Linked DNA regions of Saccharomyces cerevisiae S288C. The gene in region 2 interacts genetically with the main gene of each other region. Each region holds a gene or a part of one and is shown on either strand. Other genes may lie near its edges. The genes, in order: PUT2, PUT1, PRO3 and BAT2.

Region 1 (4,113 bases), on a different chromosome or scaffold from region 2:
TTATATAGGATCTTCCATATGGAAAGTTTTGAAAATTTGAGCATAAGAGACAGTTTCACTAGCGGAATGGAACACGTTGACGAGGAGTTAGGAGGCCTCTCCGACCTAAGTATATCTAAGCAGGGGCCAACTTTGTCACCACAGCTTATCAACCGATTTATGCCCCATTTTCCCTCGAGCCCATCACCTCTGCGAAATACATTGGATTTTAGTGCTGCTAAAGCTGATGAGGAAGAAGATGACCGAATGGAAATAGATGAGGTTGATGATACAAGTTTTGAAGAAGAATATAATAACGAGCCAATCGAAACTCATACTGAAGCGACTGAGAATGCCGTGGTGGAAGAAATCGAGGCTACCCCAGAAGAAAGACAAAAGCAAGAGAAGAATGAAAGCCAAGACCAAAGTGTAGAAGAGGTCGAGAACATTGTTTCACCGCATCGTTCAACTGTCATAAAGGCATTATTATCACCGACCGATTTAGGTGTGGCCGCAGCTACTAAAGTTGAAGGTGTTGTGCCATTACCACCATCGGCCAATCAAGATGACAATGAAAGTTCGAATAACAACGCAGAGGGTGAAGACATAATCAGAAATGAAGAAGTCGAAGATGAGATCAAATCATCACTTGGCAACCACAAGTCAAGCCAGTACGCAAATGCGTTCGATTCGGAAATAATCAAGAGGGAATTAAGATCAAGATCAAAATATCAACCAATTCAGGTTTCATTCAATACACACAACTACTTCTATTCAGATAAGGACGGCATTAAAACTTATTCTCTTACTAAACCAAATCACAATAAAATAGATGAATTTTACGACCAAAATGAAGCTTTCAAGTTGCCTAAACCATGGTCACCCAATTCACATCCGGCATCAAGAGCGTCATATGCCCTAATGTCATATTTACAGTTATTTCTCAATGCGATCACTACAGTAGTGATTTTTAGTTTTATACTCTCATTTATCATAGCGCTTCAAAAGGACTTGAAATCCACATGGGAACAAAGAAAACATGAACTGCAGTACGAATCCAGAATTTGTCAAGAGCAGTACCTCACAAATCGTTGTAACCAGACGCCTGGCTTGCCGGCTCTGGGCGAACAATGTGCTATATGGAAACAGTGTATGGACAGAAATAACGATATCTTTTTCCGTGCAAGATCAACGTTGAGCGCAAAATTGTTCGGAGACATTATCAACTCATTCATAGATCCATTAAACTGGAAAACACTATTTGTTATTTTTTGTGGTGTGATAACTTGGTGTTTCAGTTCGAATTTCTTACTGGGTTTTGTAAGAGCCAAGAGCTACTATGGCAATGGCATCAAAACATATCCCTTGCCATCTTCACCGAAATCGCCGACATCAGAAGAAACACACTCATCTATGACAGCATCTGGAGAGGACTCACACCTACTTAAGCAATAGATTGTGCTATCTGGGACAGTAACAATGCTTATCTACGCCATCGGACATCTCGGGAAGCCAACTCCGAAGCCGACAAAAATTGGATAGGCCTACTATATAAGGGTGACAGGACAGCTGACTTTACTCCAGAAGTATATCCATGGAAAATATGTAATAATACAAACAAGTTAATATAATCTATATTGTATAGAAGGCCAATTCAAATTCACAGGAATTATGCTATCAGCAAGGTGCCTCAAATCTATATACTTCAAGAGATCTTTCTCACAACTGGGACACATCAAGCCCCCCAAGCACATAAGAAATGAACCTGTTAAGCCATTTAGAAACATAGACTTAAAAGACTGGGACTTACTGAGGGCTTCCTTGATGAAATTCAAAAGTTCTTCTTTAGAAGTGCCACTGGTCATCAATGGGGAAAGGATATATGACAATAATGAAAGAGCGCTTTTCCCGCAGACTAACCCTGCGAACCATCAACAAGTACTGGCAAACGTCACACAAGCCACGGAAAAAGATGTCATGAATGCTGTAAAAGCCGCCAAGGATGCCAAAAAGGATTGGTACAATCTACCGTTTTATGACAGATCTGCAATTTTTTTGAAAGCCGCTGACTTAATTTCCACCAAGTATCGTTATGACATGTTAGCTGCTACAATGCTGGGCCAGGGAAAAAATGTGTATCAGGCAGAAATCGACTGTATCACGGAATTATCTGACTTTTTTAGATACTATGTCAAGTATGCATCAGACTTGTATGCTCAACAACCCGTAGAGTCAGCGGATGGTACTTGGAATAAAGCTGAATACAGACCTTTAGAGGGATTTGTGTATGCTGTTTCACCATTCAACTTTACTGCTATTGCTGCAAACTTGATTGGGGCTCCAGCTTTGATGGGTAATACAGTTGTCTGGAAACCTTCACAAACCGCTGCCCTTTCAAATTACTTATTGATGACTGTTTTGGAAGAAGCGGGATTGCCAAAGGGTGTCATAAATTTCATTCCAGGTGATCCAGTTCAAGTTACTGACCAGGTATTAGCTGATAAAGATTTTGGTGCCTTGCATTTTACCGGTTCTACAAATGTCTTTAAGAGTTTGTATGGCAAAATACAAAGTGGCGTTGTTGAAGGGAAGTACAGAGATTACCCCCGTATTATTGGTGAGACAGGTGGTAAAAATTTCCATCTAGTTCACCCAAGTGCAAATATATCACATGCAGTACTCTCTACTATTAGAGGCACTTTCGAGTTCCAAGGCCAAAAGTGCTCTGCCGCTTCCAGGTTATATCTTCCAGAGTCAAAAAGTGAAGAATTCTTATCCGATATGTTTGGCATATTGCAGTCACAGAATGTTGTCCCAATGAACACATCCGCAAGTCCAATTTCTGGTGGGAATTTGCGGGGATTTATGGGTCCTGTCATCCATGAACAAAGTTTCGACAAATTAGTTAAAGTAATTGAAGATGCAAAGAAAGACCCCGAGTTGGAAATTCTTTACGGTGGACAATACGATAAAAGCCAAGGTTGGTTTGTCGGACCCACAGTCATAAAAGCCAAGAGACCAGATCATCCATATATGTCAACAGAATTTTTTGGCCCTATATTAACTGTTTACGAGTATCCAGATACTGAATTTAATGAAATCTGTGATATTATCGATAATACGAGTCAATACGCCTTAACTGGTGCTATTTTTGCCAAAGATCGTAAAGCAATTGAATACGCAGATGAGAAGTTGAAGTTTAGCGCAGGAAATTTCTACATAAATGATAAGTGTACTGGTGCCGTTGTTTCTCAGCAATGGTTTGGTGGCGCAAGAATGAGTGGTACCGACGATAAGGCTGGTGGTCCAAACATTTTAAGCAGATTTGTCAGTATTAGAAACACAAAGGAGAACTTCTACGAGTTGACTGATTTCAAATATCCATCGAATTATGAATAAAAAAATTTTTGTGGAATAGAACCGCGAATGCAGTCACTTCATCCATCAACTCATGTAAATGTTAGATTATCGAAAAAAGGGTTTTGATTACTTCATTAGGTTTTTTTAGTTTTACAATTTTAATTTATCTAGGTAAATAGTTTAAAAATATTCATTGAACCAACCGTCCAAATTCCCGTTCTATATTCTGTCATGACTTACTTATTCACGTTGCTATTTATTCGCCGCATATTCATTCTGTTTTTGGCATAAGGACCCGTCCGGAAACAGAACATCAATTTATTAAATACGTCCATTCGTAAGCTTAAAGATGGAAACTTTGGCGAGCAGTCCCTGACAAGAAAAATAACAGCAAGAAATAATGATTTTAACCACAGCTAGATTAAATTGTAGACCAGTCACCGTTCCTCGTCTATTTAATCGTTCTTTTAGTCAATCTTTCATAATTTTGAAGAAAAAAAGTTCTACCCCTACTGAGAAAGTCGAAGAAGATGAAATTGACGTGAATGAACTGCTGAAAAAGGCAGAAACTCAATTCAAAAAAACTTTAGAAATTCAAAAACAGAAAATGAATGAGATAAAACAGGGAAATTTTAATCCTAAGGTATTCAATAGTTTAGTGTTCAAAAATAACAGAAAGTTTACAGATATTGCTACCACATCCTTGAAAGGTAAAAATGCACTTTTAATAACAGTTTTCGACCCCAAAGATGTGAAAACTGTGATCAGTGGGGT
Region 2 (3,918 bases):
AGGAGTTTCGAGCCGAAATCGAGGTTGTTATCTCCAGTTTCCTTATGGCTACGTTTCTTAGACGGCCTGTGTCTAGGCTGCTTCTGATCATTTTTCACTAGCCCAGATTGGGTAGGGTTCAAGACGACGAATTTCAGATTTTGCGGCAGTTTCTTCTTCCCATGAAGGGGCGAGCTTGGGCCTGAGCTTGAATAAAGACGGTAAGTAAGACGGGCGAGCTTTTTGTTGAATTTCCACATATGCTTACTCTATATTTTCTCCAGTGCCTTCAAGCTCCGTATATATTATGTACTAGTTTTATTACATTAAAGATACATAACTTTTTTTTTTTTTTTCAGTTCACTGAAATAAGAAAAGGCGGGCGAGGTGAAAAACAAAAAAAAAAGTATAGAGAAACAGAAGTGGAAGAAGAGCTAGGAAAGCACAGCGCATACGACGGTCACCTAGGATGGAGCACCAACAATTGCGGAAGTACGTCGAATTGTACAATAAGGAGGTCGAGGAATTCTACAATGGTGCCGCGTCAGGCCGCCCAGCTGAGTTCCATCCTTCCAAAGTACATGTAAAGAGCATCCATGAAAAGGCGGGTACCGCCAATGCTGGTGTAGAAATCTCTAGCGTTGGTGTAGACTGGGACAGCGAGGAGAAGAATACCTTTTTCTGGTGCCTTTCACGCTATAGTATCCACCGTGTAGACGAGTGGCGCTCATTGTTGCCTCGGAAGAGCGCCATGGAGATTCTAGGTTATTACAGGTTGTTAAGGAGAGCGAGTGCGAGCGCGAGATCGCGTAAGGCGGGTGACGACGGAGCGCCCATTGCGTACGAAATGAGCGCTGAGTGGGTTGCCCTGGAGACAAAACTGAGCGAGACAGTGATGGCCATCACGGAAGGCGCAGCCGAGGTTGCCGATGAGGAAGGACACTGCGAGGGCCTTATCGATTATGAAAGCTGGAAACGCAGGTGGGTGGCCATCTACTCGCACAGCCGTATCGCGGAGATAAGACCCTTGCCCCGCCACGCGCTGCCGCTATCGCGCAGCGCGACGCAGACTTTGGAGCGCTGCGTAAGTCGCTACACACGTACATTGCTGTGGTGCACGGCCCTTGCGGGTATGGCTTCCCGCAGCGTCAGCGCCAGGGCGGCCGAATCTCGAGGACACAAGTCGCTACCGACGGTGGTAACTCGCCGGCAAGTTGAGCGTGCACTATGCACAGAAGCCCGATCACGTGACCTACACGTGCTTCCAAGGCGCATTGTTTTGACACTGCGCAAATGGGAACTAGACTATCCGCGAGAGGGCAAACTGTTCCGCACCAAGGAGATGGCACATCTGTTTCTACAAAGCCAGTTGTCCAGACGGGATGCGCCCCCAGTCCATCAAGACGAAAATCAAGAAAATCAAGAAAATCAAGAAAATCAAGAACAAGATAACACTGCAAGTGAAGGTGAAAGCGAGGCAGAAAGGGATGAAATCGACGAAGCGGACTTGTTCCGATCAGCATTACATGAAAATCAGTTGCTAAAATGGTTATCCAAATGAGACACAATGCGAAAAATCGCGCAGGGACATAATTTTTGTTTTCATTATTCTTTCGCTTATTCCCTCCGTTAGCTCCACCGCTTTTTTGATTGGAATTTCCTTTCGGCAATGGCTTTCCGGTTACCACGCCTCGGGTTTCGCATCCCGAAAAGCATATCTACACAAGAAAAATGAATGATAAACAATTGATGAGTGGCGCTATTTCCCTTATCATCTCATTATTGTACTTAGTATCGTCTATTATCAGGAGAAATCGCATGAACTAAGCCCATTTTCTCACCCTTCTGCCTTCTTATATAAAGCTTGCTGGGAACCGAACACAAACTCCACAAGTCCGTAGCAGCTCTTCTCTTTTGTCTTTTATATATCATAAACATCGCTACATAGTAATAACACTAACGCACGCTAGAAATGATAGCTTCCAAAAGCTCCTTATTAGTTACTAAATCGCGCATACCCTCTCTATGCTTTCCTTTGATAAAGAGGTCCTATGTGTCAAAGACTCCGACACACTCTAACACGGCTGCTAATCTGATGGTTGAAACTCCGGCCGCCAATGCCAACGGCAATAGTGTGATGGCACCTCCTAACTCAATCAATTTTCTACAGACACTTCCCAAGAAGGAACTATTCCAACTGGGATTCATCGGTATTGCGACCTTGAACAGCTTCTTCCTGAACACGATCATTAAGTTGTTCCCTTACATCCCCATCCCAGTAATAAAATTCTTCGTCTCTTCTTTATACTGTGGCGGTGAGAACTTTAAAGAGGTCATCGAATGCGGCAAACGTCTGCAGAAGAGAGGTATATCGAACATGATGCTTTCATTAACTATTGAAAATTCCGAAGGTACAAAGAGTTTGTCCAGTACTCCAGTAGACCAAATTGTCAAGGAAACAATCAGCTCTGTCCACAACATCCTACTGCCCAATATTATTGGCCAGCTGGAATCTAAGCCAATCAATGACATTGCTCCAGGTTATATCGCTCTAAAACCCTCTGCTTTGGTCGATAACCCTCACGAGGTTCTGTACAATTTCAGTAATCCCGCCTACAAGGCTCAAAGGGATCAGCTGATCGAGAACTGCTCTAAGATTACAAAAGAGATTTTTGAACTAAATCAATCTTTGTTAAAGAAGTACCCTGAAAGAAAGGCCCCATTTATGGTTTCCACTATTGACGCTGAGAAGTATGATTTGCAGGAGAATGGTGTTTACGAATTACAGAGAATCTTATTTCAAAAATTCAATCCCACTTCATCTAAACTGATATCATGTGTCGGTACTTGGCAGTTGTACCTAAGGGACTCTGGTGACCATATTTTGCACGAATTGAAGCTGGCCCAAGAAAACGGCTATAAGCTTGGGCTGAAACTGGTTCGTGGTGCTTATATTCATTCTGAAAAAAACCGTAACCAAATTATCTTTGGCGATAAAACGGGCACTGACGAAAATTACGATCGTATCATCACTCAAGTTGTCAATGATTTAATCATCAATGGCGAGGATTCTTATTTTGGTCACTTGGTTGTCGCCTCTCATAATTACCAATCCCAAATGCTCGTTACTAATTTGCTAAAATCTACCCAAGACAACTCTTATGCCAAATCGAACATTGTGTTGGGGCAATTACTAGGTATGGCAGATAATGTTACCTATGACCTAATTACCAACCATGGCGCTAAAAACATAATCAAGTATGTCCCATGGGGCCCACCATTGGAAACTAAAGATTATCTTTTGAGAAGATTGCAAGAAAACGGGGATGCTGTGAGATCTGATAATGGCTGGCCATTAATCAAGGCCATAGCAAAGTCGATTCCAAAAAGAGTAGGCCTATGAGAGGACTATAATATATACTCCAATTTCAAAGACAAACCAAAAAACCAAAAAAAAAAAAAAGTATGCATACATAATTCTGATGTTCTAGTTATACATATTATATATAAGTAATGATAATAACACTAATAGTAAAGTAAACGCACGGATATCAAGAGTTAATATACTTGAACCACTTAAATAACAATCTGTTGGTAAAGCTTTCTTCCTATTGATTATGGGTTCGAATAGTACCAGATGTTTTGCCAATCCTAAATCGGTAGGAAAGTGGCTTGTCGTCGTCAGGCTTATTATCAACTCTTATGCACAAGAAAGGTACTCATCTTCTATAAACTACATAAGACCTGAATCTAATCAAAGGGAGAAAGCGCAGAACATCAGATTTAAAGCGGTTTTGCTTGATACACTCAGCCTTGTCTCTTTGTAAGGATTTTGGGGTACCTATGAATAATACATCTAGTAGTGTTAGTAAACCAACGTATGGGATTTTGGGATACATAGTTTTCCAGTGTTTCTTATCCGTGATAGTTTAATGGTCA
Region 3 (3,458 bases), on a different chromosome or scaffold from region 2:
TGATGGCGCTGATGAGAATGTACAAATTGGAGAAGATTTCATGGAAGTGGATTATGAAGATAAAGATAATCCAGTGGATTCACGAAATGAAACAGACCACAAAACGAATGAAAATGGCGAGACCGATGATAATATTGAAACGGTAATGACACAGGAACAGTTTGTTAAAAGAAGGAGGGATATGCTAGAGCATATAAATCTGGCCATGAACGAATCGTCTTTGGCTTTGGAATTCGTTTCTTTGCTACTGTCGAGTGTTAAAGAGTCTACAGGTATGTCATCAATGTCACCATTTCTTAGGAAAGTTGTTAAACCTTCTAGTTTAAACAGTGATAAAATTCCATATGTTGCACCTACAAAAAAAGAATATATCGAGTTGGATATATTGAATAAGGGATGGAAGTTACAAAGTTTAAACGAATCTAAAGATCTCCTACGCGCAAGTTTTAATAAACTGAGTTCCATATTACAGAACGAACATGACTATTGGAATAAGATAATGCAGAGTATTAGCAACAAGGATGTTATTTTTAAGATTAGGGACAGGACTAGTGGTCAAAAGCTGTTGGCAATTAAGTATGGTTACGAAGACTCTGGATCTACCTATAAGCATGACAGAGGTATTGCTAATATAAGGAATAATATAGAATCACAAAATTTGGATTTGATACCCCACAGTAGTTCAGTGTTCAAAGGCACTGATTTCGTACATTCAGTAAAGAAATTCTTAAGGGTTCGTATCTTCACAAAAATCGAATCAGAAGATGATTACATATTGAGTGGCGAAAGTGTGATGGATAGGGATAGTGAAAGTGAAGAAGCTGAAACGAAAGATATCAGAAAGCAAATCCAACTTTTGAAAAAGATCATTTTTGAAAAAGAACTGATGTACCAAATAAAGAAAGAATGCGCTTTGTTGATTTCCTATGGTGTCAGTATTGAAAACGAAAACAAGGTAATAATTGAACTACCTAACGAAAAATTTGAAATCGAGTTGTTGTCCCTTGACGATGACTCCATTGTCAATCATGAACAAGACTTACCAAAAATCAACGACAAGAGAGCAAATTTAATGCTTGTTATGTTGAGACTATTATTAGTCGTTATATTCAAGAAAACATTACGATCGAGAATAAGCTCACCCCACGGACTGATCAATTTGAATGTTGACGATGATATCTTAATAATACGTCCCATTCTTGGTAAAGTTCGGTTTGCTAATTACAAACTGTTACTAAAAAAAATCATAAAGGATTACGTGCTCGATATAGTTCCTGGCTCAAGTATAACAGAAACGGAAGTTGAGAGAGAACAACCTCAAGAAAATAAAAACATTGATGATGAAAATATAACTAAATTAAATAAAGAGATCCGTGCCTTCGATAAACTATTGAATATACCTAGACGTGAACTCAAAATAAATCTACCATTAACTGAGCACAAAAGCCCTAATCTAAGTTTAATGCTCGAAAGTCCTAACTATTGTAACGCACTCATTCACATCAAGTTTTCAGCTGGTACGGAAGCCAACGCAGTGTCCTTTGACACAACATTTTCTGATTTTAAAGAAGTAGAGGACTTCCTACATTTTATTGTCGCTGAGTACATCCAGCAAAAGAAGGTGTAATATCCTGAGTCACTCCTTAAACCTACATACATTGCCATAGAATGCCATTTATTACTATATAAAGTCGCATACGTACAAAAGGACAAGATCTTATCTTCGAAAACAAGAATATGAAGGATTTAATAACATTGCCAGGTTAAGAACGGTGTAACAACAATAGAAGTAACACAACACCAATAGCAAACAAACCAACTACAGATATGACTTACACATTGGCAATTTTAGGCTGCGGTGTTATGGGCCAAGCACTTCTTTCCGCCATTTATAATGCTCCAAAGGCGGCTGATGAAACTGCTGCTGCATTTTACCCTTCCAAAATTATCACATGTAACCATGATGAACCTAGTGCACAACAAGTTACCGATCTAGTTGAGACATTCGACGAATCTCCTAACGGTATTAAAGTCGAAAGCACTTACGGTCACAACGTGAGCGCTGTCGAAGAAGCTTCTGTAGTTCTTCTTGGTACCAAGCCATTTTTGGCCGAAGAAGTGTTGAATGGTGTGAAGAGCGTCATTGGGGGAAAGCTACTTATTTCCCTGGCTGCTGGCTGGACAATTGACCAATTGAGTCAATACACTAGCACTGTTTGCCGTGTTATGACGAACACACCTGCCAAGTACGGATATGGTTGTGCGGTGGTGTCCTACTCAGCTGATGTTTCCAAAGAGCAAAAGCCACTGGTCAACGAATTGATTAGCCAAGTTGGTAAATACGTTGAGCTTCCAGAAAAGAACATGGATGCTGCTACGGCTTTAGTCGGTTCAGGCCCCGCTTTTGTTCTCTTGATGTTAGAATCCTTGATGGAGAGTGGGTTGAAATTGGGAATCCCATTACAAGAGAGTAAGGAGTGTGCCATGAAAGTTCTAGAAGGAACAGTGAAGATGGTTGAGAAAAGCGGTGCTCATCCATCCGTTTTAAAGCATCAAGTTTGCACACCAGGTGGTACAACTATTGCCGGGTTGTGCGTAATGGAAGAAAAGGGCGTCAAGAGCGGTATTATCAATGGTGTTGAAGAGGCAGCCCGTGTTGCGTCACAATTAGGCCAAAAGAAGAAATAGATTGCTTTGCGTGAAATGTATGTATGTTCGCTTTGTAGCCGTATATTATTTTTTTATTACTGACCTTGCATTTTTTCGTCATTTTCCCGTCGGTCCGATAATGAATCATCACGATGAATGACTACCCCATAATAATGACACTAATTGGAGCGTATAAAAGAAAAAAATTATATAAATGTGTTTGTAATGAGTAAGAGCAATTGATTCATTTGAAATGAAAATCAAAAATCAAAATTAAAATAAAACTAAGCAACCATGTCAAGCGGCAGTACTATTGTTTCGTCTGACAAGTCGGGGCGAACATTTAAGCATGAGGAAGAACTACCCAAGTTACCATTACCTAAACTCTGTGACACTTTGCAGCGTCTGAAGGAGAGTTTAGAGCCATTGTATTATGCTGATGGTTACTATCAACATCCTTTAGATCCAGAACAAATTGAGAAGCTGTCATCCATAATAAGAGATTTTGAAGAGAATCCCGTAAGTGAGAAGCTGCAATCTAAACTACAGAGCTACCATGACACTAGGGATTGCTACCTTGATGAATTACACTTAGACATCAATAACCAGACCTCCACTAGGGAGATTCAGGACGATGTCCTACCCAGGAATCCCTTCTTGGTTCTCGCAGATGACGCTTTGCCAAACATCACTCAAGCTGATAGGTCAGCCGTCCTAGTGCACTCTGCGGCCAGGTTTATTTCTGCTTTGAAACAAGATTTGTTGCCACCAGATATCAATGCCACCAATGGCAAACCACTGTCAATGGC
Region 4 (3,571 bases), on a different chromosome or scaffold from region 2:
AACTTTGTCGCCCAAAAGGCATCTCATTATAATGACAAAACTGGATCTGCAAATATTTGGACATATATCTCCAGAACGGGCTCACTTCTCCTCTTCACCCAGGTGGTATATAGGAAGAGTAAGTGGACGCATCAGTCCGCGACATTTGCGGACTGTATATATTGCCAGTCAGGGCAGTCGCCAAGTGTGTCTCTTTCGTGTAGCGACGCACGTCAGACATGGATGCAACATCGAGGATGGAGCAGCCTGATGTCTTTGTAAGCAAACTCTACCACCTGCTGCAGGGGAACGCTTACTCGAACATAATACAATGGTCGACTGATGGCAGCAAGCTCGTCATTTGGAATCCGGACCAGTTCACCAAAGTCATCCTAGAGCGATTTTTTGGTATTCACACCTTTGCAGCATTCGTTAAGCAATTGAGCAAATATAACTTCCAGAAGGCGGGCCGCCCGGACTGCGTGGAGTTTTCCAACATTCATTTTCAAAAAGATAACATTAATAGCCTCTCACTGGTTAAAGCTCATCAGTCTGCCGCCACTCCCAATGTCGCCGCCGTCAATAATATGAATAAGCAGTGTACTTTTCACTGGGACCCTTTCAAAGTGAACTCCATTCTAAGCAAGGCCATCGGCAAGCCTTCCTTCGAGAAATTAGTGAAAAATGTTGACAGGCTTCAGGGCAATCTTGATGAGCTTAAGTCGACAAACGCAGATAGTCTGCGTATTATAAGGGAAATTAACGCCAGCTTACAGACAATCTCCTACCACCAGTTTCACGCCTACCAAACCGCTAACTTCCTTCAAGAAAATTTTGAAGCCATCAAAAAGGTTGTATGCCCGGACTCTTGTCTACAACACCAGCAACGCCAACCAAAGCGCCCCAAACGCTACTCGTTGCTGTTACTAATACCAAACGCATCCGAATTGTCAGAAACACCTTTGATGCGCTTCGCCGGCGTGTTCGAATTTATGAACTGCTCTTTGGATACGGCCACTCAGTGGCACCCGCAGTTGCATCCCGAGGCATACGACCTTCTTTTCGTCACCGTGTCGCCCAACATGCAACAAGAACATCTCATCTACTTCAAGAGACTGAGAAACCTACTCCCAAGCTTTCCTGTAATAGCCATTATTAACAGACCCGTCTCCCCTCAAGATACCAGCATTGCTCCCTCCAACTACTCTCGCTATTATTTCCACCATTTTTTGCAGTTGGGGTTCAGTGACATCCTAGTTAGCCCCTTCACCCCAACACAACTTATAACGCTCCTTTCCAAACATCTTCGAACGTGAAAACCTGCCTCTGAGGGTCATTCACGACCTAGCATACCACTATATACGTGTACGATTTTTTTTTTCTGTGACCGCACTACACCAAAGTTTAATGTTCCATTGGCCCCGGAACCATTCTTGCAAACGGCGTTCTTTTTCCGCTTTCGGGTGACACTTAATTTAGCTTCTTTTCCCTCTCTGACACCTCTTGTTATCTAATCTGTAGATCCGACTCTTTTTCTTTTTGGTGTCGTTCTTCTATGTCCGTTTTTCTGTCAACAAAAACGGAAATAATAGGTAGAAATTAAGAGCCGTACGTGAGTGAGAGGAGATCCGAAATGAGCTGACAGTATAACTAATATAAGCTTACAAGATATTCGACTATTTCCTGGGAAAAAATTCATTCCTTTGAGAAATCCTTAATAAAAACAGACTAACTACTAAAATTTTAGAAATTTAAGGGAAAGCATCTCCACGAGTTTTAAGAACGATATGACCTTGGCACCCCTAGACGCCTCCAAAGTTAAGATAACTACCACACAACATGCATCTAAGCCAAAACCGAACAGTGAGTTAGTGTTTGGCAAGAGCTTCACGGACCACATGTTAACTGCGGAATGGACAGCTGAAAAAGGGTGGGGTACCCCAGAGATTAAACCTTATCAAAATCTGTCTTTAGACCCTTCCGCGGTGGTTTTCCATTATGCTTTTGAGCTATTCGAAGGGATGAAGGCTTACAGAACGGTGGACAACAAAATTACAATGTTTCGTCCAGATATGAATATGAAGCGCATGAATAAGTCTGCTCAGAGAATCTGTTTGCCAACGTTCGACCCAGAAGAGTTGATTACCCTAATTGGGAAACTGATCCAGCAAGATAAGTGCTTAGTTCCTGAAGGAAAAGGTTACTCTTTATATATCAGGCCTACATTAATCGGCACTACGGCCGGTTTAGGGGTTTCCACGCCTGATAGAGCCTTGCTATATGTCATTTGCTGCCCTGTGGGTCCTTATTACAAAACTGGATTTAAGGCGGTCAGACTGGAAGCCACTGATTATGCCACAAGAGCTTGGCCAGGAGGCTGTGGTGACAAGAAACTAGGTGCAAACTACGCCCCCTGCGTCCTGCCACAATTGCAAGCTGCTTCAAGGGGTTACCAACAAAATTTATGGCTATTTGGTCCAAATAACAACATTACTGAAGTCGGCACCATGAATGCTTTTTTCGTGTTTAAAGATAGTAAAACGGGCAAGAAGGAACTAGTTACTGCTCCACTAGACGGTACCATTTTGGAAGGTGTTACTAGGGATTCCATTTTAAATCTTGCTAAAGAAAGACTCGAACCAAGTGAATGGACCATTAGTGAACGCTACTTCACTATAGGCGAAGTTACTGAGAGATCCAAGAACGGTGAACTACTTGAAGCCTTTGGTTCTGGTACTGCTGCGATTGTTTCTCCCATTAAGGAAATCGGCTGGAAAGGCGAACAAATTAATATTCCGTTGTTGCCCGGCGAACAAACCGGTCCATTGGCCAAAGAAGTTGCACAATGGATTAATGGAATCCAATATGGCGAGACTGAGCATGGCAATTGGTCAAGGGTTGTTACTGATTTGAACTGAAGTATCGCTATTGCTACGTAAAGTAATTAAAAGTTAAAAAGAATAAAACTAGAGCGTTTTTTCTACTGAGTTAAGGGGTCATGTCAGAATATAACATACCCTTTGACATTGTATATATGAATTCCTGGATTTTGCAGTGATCTGATAAAAAATGTATGTCGAAACCTGCAATTATCCTTTCGTTTTTTTTCTTGTCATCTAGTGCTGGCCTATCGGTATCAAGGACATCTTTTGCGCGGATAGAAAAGGGCCCATACATACCTTAGAAGCAACTCAAGACAATTCATGTACTTTTTAAACCAACTAATATTTCAAGACGTTTCCGTAATGTCGGTGGATAAAAGAGAAGATATGAGCAGATCTTTCCAAAAATGTTTAAACTTGAGATACCCTATCATCCAGGCCCCTATGGCGGGGGTCACGACTATTGAAATGGCCGCTAAGGCTTGTATTGCGGGCGCCATAGCTTCACTACCCCTATCCCACTTAGACTTCAGAAAGGTCAATGATATTGAAAAGCTTAAACTGATGGTTTCACAATTCAGAGATCAAGTAGCCGATGAATCTTTAGAGGGCAATCTCAACCTAAACTTTTTTTGCCATGATATCGTTGATAAACCGACCGATCTTCAAACAGCTAACTGGGCGAAGCTATACAGAAAGTCTATGAATGT

Evidence for each region.
Region 1: of PUT1 (region 2) and PUT2, changing one suppresses a phenotype caused by changing the other (phenotypic suppression), as found in Saccharomyces cerevisiae (one study listed by BioGRID).
Region 3: mutations in PUT1 (region 2) and PRO3 impair growth when combined (synthetic growth defect), as found in Saccharomyces cerevisiae (one study listed by BioGRID).
Region 4: mutations in PUT1 (region 2) and BAT2 are lethal when combined (synthetic lethality), as found in Saccharomyces cerevisiae (one study listed by BioGRID).

What each region holds. Positions count from the first base shown.
Region 1 is NC_001140.6:180,327-184,439, forward strand, and holds PUT2 (1-pyrroline-5-carboxylate dehydrogenase), read left to right. Parts: upstream 1-1,650; coding exon 1,651-3,378; downstream 3,379-4,113. Other genes in the region: BRL1 (Brl1p), read left to right, coding at 19-1,434; RRF1 (Rrf1p), read left to right, coding at 3,740-4,113.
Region 2 is NC_001144.5:423,235-427,152, forward strand, and holds PUT1 (proline dehydrogenase), read left to right. Parts: upstream 1-1,951; coding exon 1,952-3,382; downstream 3,383-3,918. Other genes in the region: SLS1 (Sls1p), read right to left, coding at 1-239; RRN5 (Rrn5p), read left to right, coding at 449-1,540.
Region 3 is NC_001137.3:199,249-202,706, forward strand, and holds PRO3 (pyrroline-5-carboxylate reductase), read left to right. Parts: upstream 1-1,827; coding exon 1,828-2,688; downstream 2,689-3,458. Other genes in the region: SRB4 (Srb4p), read left to right, coding at 1-1,627; carnitine O-acetyltransferase YAT2, read left to right, coding at 2,944-3,458.
Region 4 is NC_001142.9:703,978-707,548, forward strand, and holds BAT2 (branched-chain-amino-acid transaminase BAT2), read left to right. Parts: upstream 1-1,766; coding exon 1,767-2,897; downstream 2,898-3,571. Other genes in the region: YJR146W (uncharacterized protein), read left to right, coding at 1-261; HMS2 (Hms2p), read left to right, coding at 219-1,295; YJR149W (putative nitronate monooxygenase), read left to right, coding at 3,183-3,571. UniProt on the Saccharomyces cerevisiae protein: Cytoplasmic isozyme of branched-chain-amino-acid aminotransferase, which catalyzes the first reaction in the catabolism of the essential branched chain amino acids (BCAAs) leucine, isoleucine, and valine.